Saccharomyces cerevisiae S288C: one gene and its partners. The protein of the gene in region 3 interacts with the protein of the main gene of each other region in a pairwise test. Each region holds a gene or a part of one and is shown on either strand. Other genes may lie near its edges. The genes, in order: MST28, FMP33, RIO1 and AFR1.

Region 1 (2,997 bases), on a different chromosome or scaffold from region 3:
ATTAATTTTCATTGGGGCTGATGCTTTCGCTGCAAGTTGTCATAGTATTATTTATTTATTAATACCTTAGATTTTCTTGACAATTAACCAATTTTTAATCATTAAACTTAATAATATTTAATGCTACTGTACTTTTTATTATTATTTATTATTAATTTATTTATTCGTTCATCTTGTATGTAATCGTCCTCCGTTCTTTTCCCTTTACCGCTGGCTTGCGCGCGATGATTTCCACTAAAAGCTTGCTTGGAAATCTCGATCACCGACATACGCCCTGAGAATGCTTATAGGAGCTATTGAGGCGAAAGAAGTGGAGGGAAAGTAATATCCCGAGAACGAAAACGCAAGGTTTATTGTCATGAAAATGCAAATGCACCGTTGACAAAACCAACCACACGATTATCACGACTACTACCATAATAGGTAGGCAATGAACCACTTTGTTCAGCAAATGGGTCCAACACGAATCGACTTTTCGAGGCTTCCTTCGGCCGTTTTCCGGCCAGTTAGTGCTGATTATATATCATACTCTAGTTTATGTTCGCTTTACGTATGGTAGTGTCTCTAAGCTATTCCGTCTTTTTAAGAAGCGCATCGATATTGGGATGCCGCCTTCGCCAGTAATTTTCCTGAGCTTGTCGTTCGATCTCCGCTGCCTTGAGCAAAAAGTTTTGATAATTCAGTCTGGAACTAGGAGAAGCTGACTCGATGGCATCTTCAGGCTTAGCGGTGACCGGAGAATTGCCAATTGACGTGGCTGTTTGCTTCTTGGGGGTTACTCCCTCAACAAGGCGTAGAAAATAACGGTAGCAATCCTCATCGCTGTAAAAGTAATACGGAGTATGCCATTGCCCATGATTAAACAAATATTGGTTCATGTTGTATGTGATGATCCTCCATTCTTTCCCTTCTACCGCCGGTTTACGTGTGATGACATCCACTAAAAGCTCGGTCCTAAAATTTCGACGACTGACTAGCTTTGGATTACCATCACTTAATATTATTAACAAACCTACAAGAGAAGTAAAAGCAAATATTGCAGAATTGAAAACACAAGCTTCGTTGTCATTAAAAAATATAATTAATAAAACCAAAACCCCTATTACCAGGGACAAAATCATGACTGGTGTATAGCGAGCGATTTCATAGATCCAATAACTCAAGTACGAACGGAATATGTCCTTAGGAAGAGCCACATTTTTCTCAATTAAATGTGCACTAGGTTCGTTAAGTGTATCTAACTTGACGTCGGTACTTTCTGGAGGGGTCTGCATAGCCAATATATACCTTGTATTGCCTATGACTATAGTATTCCTGGTTGTTTCTGTGCCACTGCATACTGATCAAATGTTTCAATTACGCAGGACCCTTTTACGATTGTTTTTCATCTCTAGAGGCATTTTCAACATCGTATTTTCCGAAGCGTTGCATAATGAAAATGTGATAATAAGGCAGTGAGCTACTTTGTCACAACAAAGTACGAGAACAGATGAGGTTCCGTGGTGTTTTTGGGGCAACCGCACTATTTGGAGCGCTGTATATATTTATATCCTACTACAAAAAATCATAAATGACACTGAATTGGACACATGCTAGCGTCAAATACCTTGCCTGGTAAAGTTGTGTGCTAGTGTCTCCCGTCTTCTGTCTAAAAAAACTCATCGACACCAGGATACTCTTGTCGCCAATATTCCTTTTGAAATTGTTGTTCGATTTCGGCTGCCTTGGTGAGGAGCTTTATAAAGTTCGGTCCGGCACTAAAACTAGAAGACTCAGCGGCTTCGTTTGGTGTGCCAGCGGTTTCGTCATTTGATTGTGCGTCTTTAACATTGCTGGCTGACGATTCCTTTTGCTTCTTGAAAGTTCTTCCCTTAATAAGACTTAGAAAATAACGGTGGCAATCTTCATCACGGTAAAAGTAGTAGGGAGTATCCCATAGCCCATGATCAAATAAATACTGGTTCATCTTGTATGTAATTGTCCTCCATTCTTTCCCCTTTACCGCCGGTTTACGTGTGATAATTTCCATCAGAAGCTTAACTTTAAATTCCCGATCACCGATCGGTTCACTAAATGCAATTACAACCATGCATGTTCCTGGAAAGCAAAAGGAAAACAATAGTATCTCAAAGGCAACGCAAAATTCCGTATTATAAAAAAACACTAATAATAAAATTGAAGTCACAATAAGTACGAGCAAAATTACTGCCGCTTTATGACGAGTAACTTCATATATCCAATAACTTAAGTACGAACCGAATATGTCCTTGGGAAGAGCCACATTTTTCTCAATTAAATATGCACTGGGTTCGTCGAGAAAATCCGACTTGGCGTCGGTACTTTCTGAAGATGTTTGCATGCCCAGTTTATATCTTGTCTTCTCTATAGCTCTGCTATGGTGTTGAAGGATGTTATGCGGATCAAAATAGCGATCTGTCTTATACCAATTGAAACTTTTCATCACCTGCTTTTTACTTCGGAGGCATTTTTCATTCAATACTAAGTTCCGGAATGATACAAAATAAAAATGGTATTGAGGCGACATAAGTTGTTAGCACAGCAAAGATGGTTGCGGGTTAAGTTTTCTGATCGTTCTGGGAGAGTATTTACGTTAAAAAATAGGAATCAATTAAGCATAATCATGCCGTTTTGTGTGCTACATATCTGTTTCCCACTATATAAAGTCACGTTAGAATGCAATTTATCTAATTTACTACCCCATTTTAGCGTCAGTGGATTGGTAAATCCCTTTGCTAGCAAGGTACTGTCAGAATATTTCTCCTTCCTTTCAAATAATTGCACCAATATCTTGCCAATACTTCACTTGAGATTGTTCTACAATATCCGCTGTCTTGGAAAGCAATTTTGAAAATCTTCTCCGGGATTTAATGTGAAAGATTCGCCAGCTTCAGTCTCCTGTACATTTTCCTCAGCGTTGCTTGTTGGCTTCTCGAAAGTTCTTCCCTCAATAAAACTTAGAAAAAGACGGTGGCAATC
Region 2 (2,804 bases), on a different chromosome or scaffold from region 3:
TGTGCTTTCCAAGAGTAAGTTAGAGCCAACAAAGAAACCAAATAATGAAAAAGTGATCAAGGTGCAAGCCTGTAAAAGTTCTGGCACCTTGGCAATAACGTTACAAGGAGGTGTTCTTATTGACTCCAGTGGTAGAATTGGATCGATAGTAGCAAACAGACAGTTCCAATTTGATGGTCCACCTCCACAGGCGGGCGCTATTTACGCTGGCGGCTGGTCGATAACGAAGCATGGCACTTTAGCTATTGGTGATAATGACGTGTTTTACCAATGTCTGTCGGGCACTTTCTATAACCTTTACGATCAGTCTATCGGGGGCCAGTGCAATCCCGTTCATTTACAAACAGTTGGTCTCGTCGATTGTTGAATCACCAACATTATAATCTTGCAGGTCTTGATTGTACTTCAAAAATATAACTAAAATAATAGTATAAAAGTAAGTCTGTCTTACTATGTATGGGGCGCGTTATAATTTTACGTATTCACAAACGAGTTTTCATTTACTTCATCGTTTTTATTTTCGGAGATGTTGCCTTCTGCATTACTCAAAGCGCACTCCAGCTTTTTCCAGCTGTTTCATCCTAAGTTTAAGTGCCATATAAATCAACGGTGGGAACCCTAAAACACTAACGACACTTCCCTTATAAAGAATGGATTTTTTGCCTAAGGTGGAATTGCCTATTAGGCTCGAAAGTTGAATGAGAAACCCCCAAACAATCGAAAATTGAGAGACATCACTGTACGTCAAAGAATGAAGTACTTTATGGAGGTCACTCTTTTGTAAGTCAAGCTCTTTCTCTTGATAGGTATCAAGTGCTGGCTTGAATATTCTATTGGGAGCGTCATGGACTATATTTACAATGTCGTCTTCTGCGATGGCATGGGGATCTTCTTGCTCTTTGGACTTATTCAAGCTATTTGATTCTAGATATAGGCATGCCAGACCTGTCCCATACAGTGTTGTCACTAAAAGACTAGTGTACAAATTACCCTTCGAAAATAAAGGTTTTGAGCCAAGATTGGGCGATGTGCCTGAAAACTTGGTGAATTGTGAGTTGTGACGTAACAACCTTGTGTATAGCATATGAATGAAAGAACTCTATGATATACTTGATTTATTTACCTTGCATCAAGTTTTCGTTATCCGCACCAACTTAAACTAATTTTATAATATACTTAAAATAGACATTCAGGGGAGTATTCAAAAAATCACGGAGGTTTTTATCAGCACTTTGGAAGGGAGCAAAAGCAGGCAAACTATCTCACCAGAGGTCTGAATGGTGGACTGCGAATATCGGAAGATAGGAAATACAACTTTGTTGATTGGCATTCTTATTTTTAGGCTGATCTATTATATTTAGGCAGTTTATGTTCCTAAAAATACATGTCGATCATCTGCTCCAAGCAAATAAGCTATTTACTATGAAGAAATTTTTAAATTAATGAGGCAGAAGTTACGCATATCAGAAAGACTCTAGATGTTCTCATTGTAAAGAACAGTTTACACTTGGTGATACGGACTAACAGGTATTCATATGGGAAGATATGAAAATTGTGCAAGGAATACGCCGCCAGACTTTATGATAGATTAATGGCATCGGAGTTGCTGCACTGTAATTTTTTAAGCATCGTGGCAGCCCTCGGTTCCATCCTAGCGTTTATAAATATCTAATATAGAGCAAACTCGCAATATTCTGTAAACTATGATTCCAATGGCAGTAGTTATTACCATTTCTAGCGAAAGGATCACTCTAGACGATATAAGTTTAAAATTTGTTGATGTAATTAGAGGTGTAGTCGTCTAGAAGAAGATATGGCATGTAATGTTTTGAATTTACCTCATCTAATAGCAGGAACACAGGTTTTTTGCAGAACAGAGAGGCATTTCTGGTATAGTTAAGATGTGGGAGAGGGACAAAGGCAGATTTGGAGGTGCAAGAAATTTGTCGTGGTTAGCGACTAGCATTGTGTTAAGTTTCGCATTGTATTGATTTTATAAGGGATGTATTGCATTCGGCTAAGGCAACATTTATGGATAACGAAGTGCGGTTGAGTTCTGGTATCGGTTTTGAGAGAGTCTCTGTTGCTGTTAAGATTCCAATTTACATATCTGTCCTGCACAGGTTAGCGCTGCGGCGTTGCACAGGCATGAAACTAGGAAAACGTACTTTGGGCAGATTTGTAAAAAAAATTCTATCAAAACAACTAGTACAGAACAGTTGAGTTTAGAGCCGGTGTCTATTATCATATGGGAAAGATGATCCTCTTGTTAATTTGGTAAGTAGTACTATTAGGTGTTGAATATTAACCGTTTATAATCCGATATAGTGTAACGGCTATCACATCACGCTTTCACCGTGGAGACCGGGGTTCGACTCCCCGTATCGGAGTATTTTTTATGTGATTAGCTAAATAGTTATTTTTTGAAATAGTTTGTAGTAGTTCACCTTTATCCTATTAAAATATAATATCACACGAAAATTATCTGTTTGTCCTCAATTCAGTTGATCATTGTGCTAGATGTTCAATATTGTGAAACTTTTACAATACCGATTCGGTGCGGACATCTTGAAAATACAATACCGTGCGATGCCTTTAAACTTTTTTTGAGGCATGAGCGTAAATAGACCTGGAATGTTCAATATAGACTGTAGCAAAGTGCTTCTTCAGTTTATGCTATTGTACACTGTACTATTCTTATGTCACAGGTAATAGAACCACAATTAGATAGAACAACCTATTATTCCATATTAGGCTTGACATCAAATGCGACTTCCTCCGAAGTACATAAATCATATCTAAAA
Region 3 (4,149 bases):
CACATTAGAATTTGCTGTGTTTAGAAATACTGGTTACGGAGGTTCATTAGACCCTGGTTTATTGTCGATGGAAAGAAAGGAGGAAAATTCCCCTTATGAATTGCATTTTTTGATTCAAGATGTTGAGGTATGGGGCTGTGGTGGTGAGAAAGAACTAGAAGAGCAAATCAAACAGTTGGAATGGGAAGAAGCAGAATCTAAAAGAAGACAGCAAATTAACCTGAGAAGCTTGGGAGAAGACCGTGCCTTACTGGAAATGGCAGGTTTAGTTGGCCAACATCAAGGTGGCGGTTCAATGTGATGCCTGCCTTTTTTGCTGTTTTTAGTTATTGGGATTGATTTCACTAAAAATCAAGACCACTAAATAAGGCTATTGTTTATTTTAATATTTATTGCACTTGTATGAAAAGTACCAAACTTTTGATACTGATATTACACTTTTAGTCTTGAACTTTCTTCGTTAAATTGCTGACCTACTTTCTGTTCTTCGACTCCAAACAACGATTCCCAAATGTATTTTCACAGGGCCGCATTATTTCTTTGATTTCGTTTTTTTCACCAATTTTTTCTTGATGTGCTTCTTGACTTTTGTTTTCCTTTTTTCTCTTTTTGCATCTTTAGCTTCCTGCTTGCGCAATTTTTTTAAATCCTTGTCCTCATGTTTCTTCCCCTTTAAAACTTTTGGTTCATCATCGTCATAGTACTCGCCCTCCTCCTCGTCATCTTCTTCAGATCCGCTTGAGCCGTCTTCTTCATCATCTGAGAATTCCTCTGTGCCAGAACTACATTCGTGGTCAGCGTTATCAAATTCAAATTGCTCAGAAGCAGCAAAATTGCGTTCATTATCATGGGCAATCAAGCTTTTCAGTAAGTCAAACTTACCATCAGTATACCTATCAAAATCTCTTTCCTCTAATCCACCCAATGATCTAACTAAATGCAGCGATCTGAATATTTCATCTTCTGCCTCATCTTGTTCTGTAGATTTTATTGGTAGATTACTAGCAATGTATGCAACCAAGGCGCTAATATTGTTATAATCACCTTTAAATTTCTCCAAAGTTTCTGATATGACAAATTGAAAAATAACCCTTTCAGGGAAAATACTTATACCCATCTTCTCGAAATAAAGGTTAACGTTTTTGATATCCATCCTTAAAAAATCTAAACTCATTGGATGTTCAGGTTCCACACTTTGGGAAACATCGATCATATATAGTTTATCATCATGAACTATGGTGTTATACTCTGACAAATCGGCATGAACCAGGCGACAAACTTGGTACAGCAATCTCATATATGCCACCATTGTGTGATAATAATGGAAAATTTCATCACGATTCTTGTACGGATAATCTTTTAATTTAGGTGAGGCAAATCCATTACCTCGGCTTAAAAATTCCATAACTAAGACGTTGTTCTTAACTTCTATTGGCTTAGGAGCTGGAATGACGCCACTTTGATAAATTCTTTTCAGGTTCCTAAATTCCTTTTCAGCCCAAATTTTAATCATTTTCCTTGGATTATGTTGAGATCTGGAATTTCTAAATCTAAATTCACCATCAACATATCTTTCACGATCTTTGAAGACTAGGATAGAGGTCTTATAAATCTTAATGGCATATTCTGCACGGGATCCGTCTGTCTCTAAAACTTCATACTGGCCTGTTTCCTCATCTATTACGGGTGCCTTACCGGTACCTGCAAAAGCGTGGTAAACATTAGCTTCTTTCCCAGTACTTAAGCAACCGTTCAAATCTGCAATCACACCTCTGGTGACCATAGACTTCAAAAATCTCATAGTTCTCGGATCTAAGACATTTTCCACAGTCGCCCTATTTGCTTTATCCTTTGATGTTTTCGCTCTGCTGAATGATAATTCATCAGTTTTTATTTTGTGACTATACTTCTCTAAGAGCTGATTATTAATATGGTCCGAGGCACCTTGCGACACAGACAATGAATCAAATTTATCTTCCAAGGACATGACCTTCTAAAAATAACGGAGTTTGAATCTCTAAATCTGTTTTAACTTCTTTTTACTATTATTTTTAGTCTTAGTATCTCATCTCATCTCAATTTCTATATTCCACTATAAAATTTTTCACTCTTTCTGCGCGCGCCAATGTCCCCGCAACTACTCAATAGGTAACATGAGAATATTTCAGTTCGTAAGAGAGAAGAGATGAAGTTATTTGGGCTCTTTGCTCGAGGTTACAGAAGGGCCGCATTAGAGTGAATGAGCTGATGATATTTCGCCCAGTTCTACATTTTTTTTTTTTTGGAAGTATGACCTCTGTTAAATTTTTTTTTTTTTAAATTTCACTTTCTAAAGTCCCAGAAATCCGCTTGAATGTCTTACATATTGCAATGGATATGCTTGGGTGATCATACTTCCTGGCTTTAGATATTTGAAACTTAACTCTTGTCAACAAACTTCCTATGGAGTGTATAAGAATTGTAAGTTATAACACCGGCGAACAATCGGGGCAGACTATTCCGGGGAAGAACAAGGAAGGGCGGTCTTTTCTCCCTCATTGTCATAGCAAGGTCATTTCGCCTTCTCAGAAAGGGGTAGAATCAATCTAGCACGCAGATTGCAAACACGGCTTAATAATATGCCTATCAGGCATTCACCCGTGTGACGAATCGCACACCGCTGCTCTCCTTAATTCCCTAGAGTAGAAACCGAGCTTTCAGGAAAAGACTACGGCAGTAAAGAATTGCTTTACTGGGCGTATAAAACCGGGAGAATCAAGACATTCTAATGACTTGATTCAGGATGAGAGCTTAATAGGTGCATCTTAGCAAGCTAAAATTTGGACAGCTCTCATTACTAAATTAAGATAGAAAAATGCCTGCTACTTTACATGATTCTACGAAAATCCTTTCTCTAAATACTGGAGCCCAAATCCCTCAAATAGGTTTAGGTACGTGGCAGTCGAAAGAGAACGATGCTTATAAGGCTGTTTTAACCGCTTTGAAAGATGGCTACCGACACATTGATACTGCTGCTATTTACCGTAATGAAGACCAAGTCGGTCAAGCCATCAAGGATTCAGGTGTTCCTCGGGAAGAAATCTTTGTTACTACAAAGTTATGGTGTACACAACACCACGAACCTGAAGTAGCGCTGGATCAATCACTAAAGAGGTTAGGATTGGACTACGTAGACTTATATTTGATGCATTGGCCTGCCAGATTAGATCCAGCCTACATCAAAAATGAAGACATCTTGAGTGTGCCAACAAAGAAGGATGGTTCTCGTGCAGTGGATATCACCAATTGGAATTTCATCAAAACCTGGGAATTAATGCAGGAACTACCAAAGACTGGTAAAACTAAGGCCGTTGGAGTCTCCAACTTTTCTATAAATAACCTGAAAGATCTATTAGCATCTCAAGGTAATAAGCTTACGCCAGCTGCTAACCAAGTCGAAATACATCCATTACTACCTCAAGACGAATTGATTAATTTTTGTAAAAGTAAAGGCATTGTGGTTGAAGCTTATTCTCCGTTAGGTAGTACCGATGCTCCACTATTGAAGGAACCGGTTATCCTTGAAATTGCGAAGAAAAATAACGTTCAACCCGGACACGTTGTTATTAGCTGGCACGTCCAAAGAGGTTATGTTGTCTTGCCAAAATCTGTGAATCCCGATCGAATCAAAACGAACAGGAAAATATTTACTTTGTCTACTGAGGACTTTGAAGCTATCAATAACATATCGAAGGAAAAGGGCGAAAAAAGGGTTGTACATCCAAATTGGTCTCCTTTCGAAGTATTCAAGTAATTGTTTTTGCGTGTTTCTCGTATGATTGTAATATGTAGATAAATTAAACATAAGTATATCAAATGTCGATATTCTTAAGACTGTTTCGTAAATATGTTAAATACCGGATGTGACTACATATAAAAAGTGCGCCTTTTACAGTGATAATTAGCGTCAATCAATAAAATATTTGTAAAATAGGAAGCGAAATCCCGCAGATGCCAGAATAGGTGGTGTATAAGGCAAGAAAACTTTACCTGCATAAATTAGTATTGAACACCAATCAAGTAGTCAGCCAATTGCTCGACAATCTTGGTGGCCTCACCGGCTTGTACGGTTGGTGGATAATGAGCAATAATAACGGTTTGCTTAGTTCT
Region 4 (4,264 bases), on a different chromosome or scaffold from region 3:
AATATTTTCAGTCTTAAAAGACACAACACAGCGAAGACACCCCAGATTACGGGTGTCACATACATCGACCACCAGAATAACTTAGAATCGATGGCATTTATTGGTGGGCCCGGCGCATATTGCTTATATGATTCGAAAGTAAAATTAGAATCTTTGTTCACATCTGTAGAATCATACCACCAGCGTAATTGGACCAGTTTCCGACCTGTAATGTTTTTTGTTAAGTAAAAGTCAAAAGAAAGTAAAAGAACGACAGTGATGAATTGAGGTGTGAAATTCAAAAACATTGATCCTATGATATAAAATACAATGGGAACTGCCTTACCTGCCAGATGAAATGATAGTAGCAACGGGTGCGACGATTTTAAAATTGTGTTGTAGAAATTTCTTGCCTGGTCCATGTTTCATTCGTAATTAGAGCACCAGCAGGTTTATAAAAGCGTATTGAACCGTAAATCCTTTAAGAACCACGCTTTTCTACATTTACATTATGTACAGTTAAAATGGAAACGAAATCCCTTTTCACCCAAAGGCGCATTGCGGACAAATAATAGGTTCGAGGTCAAGGTAAACAGGAAGCAAGATGCAAAAGAAGTAACTGGAATGGAATGTATACATTGATATATAAATATGTATGACGCCTTCTATTGCAAAAAATAAACTGGATTATGTTACGTTAATAACTCAAATTAAATAATGTGTAAAGCACTTGCTGTTCTCATGGACAACCATCTCATTTTTTTTGTAAGAGTTAAGTTCAAGTTTGATCTCATTCATGGCACTATTCATGCTTGGATGTACTTTCATCATCCACAACAATCTGTGGCGATTCATAATGAATTCCGGATTAGCTCTCTCATATGCATTCGATGACCAAGTGCTTGCTAAACATACTTCTTTTGCAAACCGGACATCTTTTTTTATTGGTTTTGGAGGTGTTTCGACTTTATCAAATGAGGAATCTGGCAGCGAATTCCTTCTATCTTCGAATCTGATATACTCCCAGTCATTTCTCAACCTATTTACCATGTCGTTCCCAACATGCATTGGTAAGCTTATTGGACCTGACAGAGACTGTCGCAAATCTGTCGATATGTTGTAGAAGTATCGTGCAGATTCATTGTCATCTAATGAAGGCCTCTTGGACGATCTTGGTGGTGGTTGATTTCTCGTGTCGATTATATATTCACCGAGCTTTGAAAATTCTTCGATTATGGTCTTGTCGATCAAACCTTCATTGACATTATGCTTTTCGGTATCTCGAAAAGAAACCTTGCCATCGTCGTTGTGCGAGGTCTCGTGGAGCTTTTGTCGTATTTCTAATTGCCTTCGCCTCAAATCGTATTTATCATTTTCCTTGGACAACAGATCATCAAAAATTGAATCTGTATCCATTAGAGTTTCGTCGTCGTCAAATTCAATGCCGTCCAGATTTGCATCCATTAATTCAATATCATTCTCAGCTTCAGAATTTCCATCAGAATGCGTAACCATATCATCGATAGGAATTCTCCTTCTTTTTGTATCCTTTTTTCCATGCTTTGTATTCGAGTTTCCTGAAGTACGCCATAATTTCTTCAAAACAGAACCCAGTTTCAACTTCGATTGTGACTTTATACATCTATATTTCTCAGTGCCCAGAATAGTCTTTTTCTTTCTATCAAATAGGCCTGAATTAGTTGTTGGCTTAGTTTTTTCCTTAGTTGATAAATCCAATTTTTCTATATGGCTACCATGTTTTTCATTTACCGTATTTTCGAAGCAATAAGATATAGTTACAGTTTTATTTTCATAACCGTCATCATCATCAGTTTGACTTTCTGGCAAGCTGGTCAGGGTATTAACAGCAGATATCGGAGAGGTTGATGAAACCGAACTTTTTATTGTTGAAGGAACTGAAGTGTTCAGCTCCAAGCTATTTACACCGTAGCCTGTATCATTGGGAGGAATATGTATGACTGATGTCCCATTATGAGGCCCCACAAAATCTTTTGATAAATTGCGACCTTTCTTCTCGCTGAATTTGAATAAAGAAGAGTCTCTTGAATTTAATTCAGGCTTTTTCAAGCTGTGGGTGCATTTTCCATCAAGTTTTGGCTTGTATATTTCGCCATTGGGAAATTGAAAGCTTCTTTTCATTTTAGAGCGCTGCAGTTGATAAGGTGTTAATTCTTTATATACTCCGAAAGTGTACTGTGGCTTCTGGTATTGGCTCACATAATCTTGATCATTATTGAACCCCTCATGGTAAGAGTTTCTTTCCCTAACTGTGAATAGCGCAGTTCTCTTTCTTTGCTGGGCGGCTGTCATTGAACAGGACCTTACTGGAAATTTTCTAGCTGCTGTCACAGACCTACAGTCTATCTCGCCACTATAAATGTGTCTCTTCTTATTCGGGTTCGAATAATTGTAATCAGCATCATTCCTAACATTGAGTTTAGAGAATGTACTAGACAAAGCAAACAAATTCGAAGTTGAGTTCGACCTAGGTATCAATCGCTCCGGTATGGGTTGGTTTTCTTGTGCAGATAGATATGAGCCCTCCATTATTATCAGCAGTTTGTGGTAACACCTAATATGGCCTATCTGGATAATGAGATAGCCCCTTCCCTTTTTCCAGTTTTCTTTTTCTTTTGTTCCTATATTATATGAAGCCGGTATATATATTTATGTAGAATAAGCTTTTAGCAGGCGTCCCATTAAAGTCGTCAAGGTAAGTCGGGCCCAATAAACTTGTTGAAAGGGTGAGAGAGAAAGTGCTAAAAGGAAGCCAAACCTTTGTGAAACCTGGGGTATGTCGAGCATATAATCAAAAATAAGACGTACTACTCAAAAAGGAAATGCATGGGAAAAAGAGGCAGCGAAAAAGGAAAAGTGAGTGCCCATCTATTTTTAGGCGCTGTTCCGTTCAGGGATCGTACTTGTTTCATATCAGTGGTAGCAACGTGGTAGCACGGAAGAATTTGACAAGGAGCTAAACGTCATATCGCCAAGGAACGGTTTTTCGTTTCAAGGTCGTTGGAGAGCTTTTCCATGATCGGTATGGAGCTTAAATAAAGGGAAAGGAACAATGATACGTTTATGCTTATTCGGCAAATAGAAAACATGTTTAATACAGAAAATGCAGTAATATTATATGGGAAGAATCAAGACTCTTGCCTTCCACCTCTTTAGAGTAAATTCTTATATAGGGCTGAACATATACACACTATACCGATAGAAAGGTTATAATTTAAAGGGAAAAATGCACATAAAGAATACTACTTAATTTTGATTTTTGGTTCTGGTGCCGTTGTTTTTATTTTTTCTCGTCTTTTATCTCTTTTAAACAATAACGTATCTGATTGGAATATGAATCAACTTGATGGCGTAACCAATGATACCGACTGCAATAAAACCAATACCAACAGCCTTGACAATCTTGGTGTATTCCTTCAAATCAGGTTTCTTACACTTGGCCAAGAATTGAGTACCTTCTCTGACAAATTCTACAGGTGCTTCAACCAGCTTTTCAACCTGGTTGTTGCTCTGCTTTTTCTCTTCACCTTTTTCACTAGCTCTAGCCATTTTATTTTTCAATGTTATACGTGATTTTATCTTTGGTAAACTAGCGTAGTGCGGACAATGGACACGAGTTATGGACAATACACGCCAATCTGTACTATTTTCCTTGTTTAATTTAATCACTAGTATTCTTTCATTTCAAAACGAAAAAAAAATAAAAAAAATGTTGCGAGGAAAAAAAGGCGACGTGTTTCGCATTCCGCCAATATCCACAGAGGGTAATGAATTTTTCGTACTATAGATATACAACTACAATTTATATGAGCGACTTACGATTACTTACATACTACCGCCAGGAAGAATCAAAATCCCTTCCACTCTTCCTCTTCCTCTTCTTCAGATTCGTTACTGGAATCATTATGTTGCGTTTCGCCTTCAAGAATATCCCAGGAAACAAGTCTGGTGTCACTGAATAGGTCTTCTTTGATCTTCTCTCTCAACACCTTACTGTTATTGTAATCTGCCACGATATCTTGGAAAATTGCGATAACATCGGCTAGTGGCGTTTTTTTTGCGCTCTCTGCAATTTTGCGCATCTCTTCCTCTTTGTTTTCCTCGTCTTCATCGTCTTCATCTCCATCTTTAAGCAATCTTTCCCATTCGTCCAGCAGAATATCGACGATATGAATTGGAATCCCTGTGTAGACCTTTGGACTTCCACTCAGAGGTAACCACCTCAACACTTTCTTAATATACTCGT

Evidence for each region.
Region 1: the proteins of RIO1 (region 3) and MST28 interact in a two-hybrid assay, tested with the Saccharomyces cerevisiae proteins (one study listed by BioGRID).
Region 2: the proteins of RIO1 (region 3) and FMP33 interact in a two-hybrid assay, tested with the Saccharomyces cerevisiae proteins (one study listed by BioGRID).
Region 4: the proteins of RIO1 (region 3) and AFR1 interact in a two-hybrid assay, tested with the Saccharomyces cerevisiae proteins (one study listed by BioGRID).

Annotation. Positions count from the first base shown.
Region 1 is NC_001133.9:186,384-189,380, reverse strand, and holds MST28 (DUP240 family protein MST28), read right to left. Parts: upstream 1,275-2,997; coding exon 570-1,274; downstream 1-569. Other genes in the region: pheromone-regulated DUP240 family protein PRM9, read right to left, coding at 1,649-2,545; DFP2 (DUP240 family protein), read right to left, coding at 2,836-2,997. UniProt on the Saccharomyces cerevisiae protein: Involved in protein trafficking vesicle formation, probably by stabilizing of coatomer at the Golgi membrane and thus allowing the efficient formation of COPI coated vesicles.
Region 2 is NC_001142.9:115,525-118,328, reverse strand, and holds FMP33 (Fmp33p), read right to left. Parts: upstream 1,085-2,804; coding exon 542-1,084; downstream 1-541. Other genes in the region: PIR5 (beta-1,3-glucan linked protein), read left to right, coding at 1-367; JJJ2 (Jjj2p), read left to right, coding at 2,700-2,804.
Region 3 is NC_001147.6:548,260-552,408, forward strand, and holds RIO1 (protein kinase RIO1), read right to left. Parts: upstream 1,988-4,149; coding exon 533-1,987; downstream 1-532. Other genes in the region: RTC5 (Rtc5p), read left to right, coding at 1-301; glycerol 2-dehydrogenase (NADP(+)) GCY1, read left to right, coding at 2,855-3,793; PFY1 (profilin), read right to left, coding at 4,039-4,149. UniProt on the Saccharomyces cerevisiae protein: Required for the final endonucleolytic cleavage at site D converting 20S pre-rRNA into the mature 18S rRNA. Required for the final steps of cytoplasmic maturation of the 40S ribosomal subunit.
Region 4 is NC_001136.10:613,604-617,867, forward strand, and holds AFR1 (Afr1p), read right to left. Parts: upstream 2,548-4,264; coding exon 685-2,547; downstream 1-684. Other genes in the region: TVP23 (Tvp23p), read right to left, coding at 1-401; translocon subunit SSS1, read right to left, coding at 3,325-3,567; RRP1 (Rrp1p), read right to left, coding at 3,867-4,264. UniProt on the Saccharomyces cerevisiae protein: Acts in conjunction with the alpha-factor receptor to promote morphogenesis and adaptation.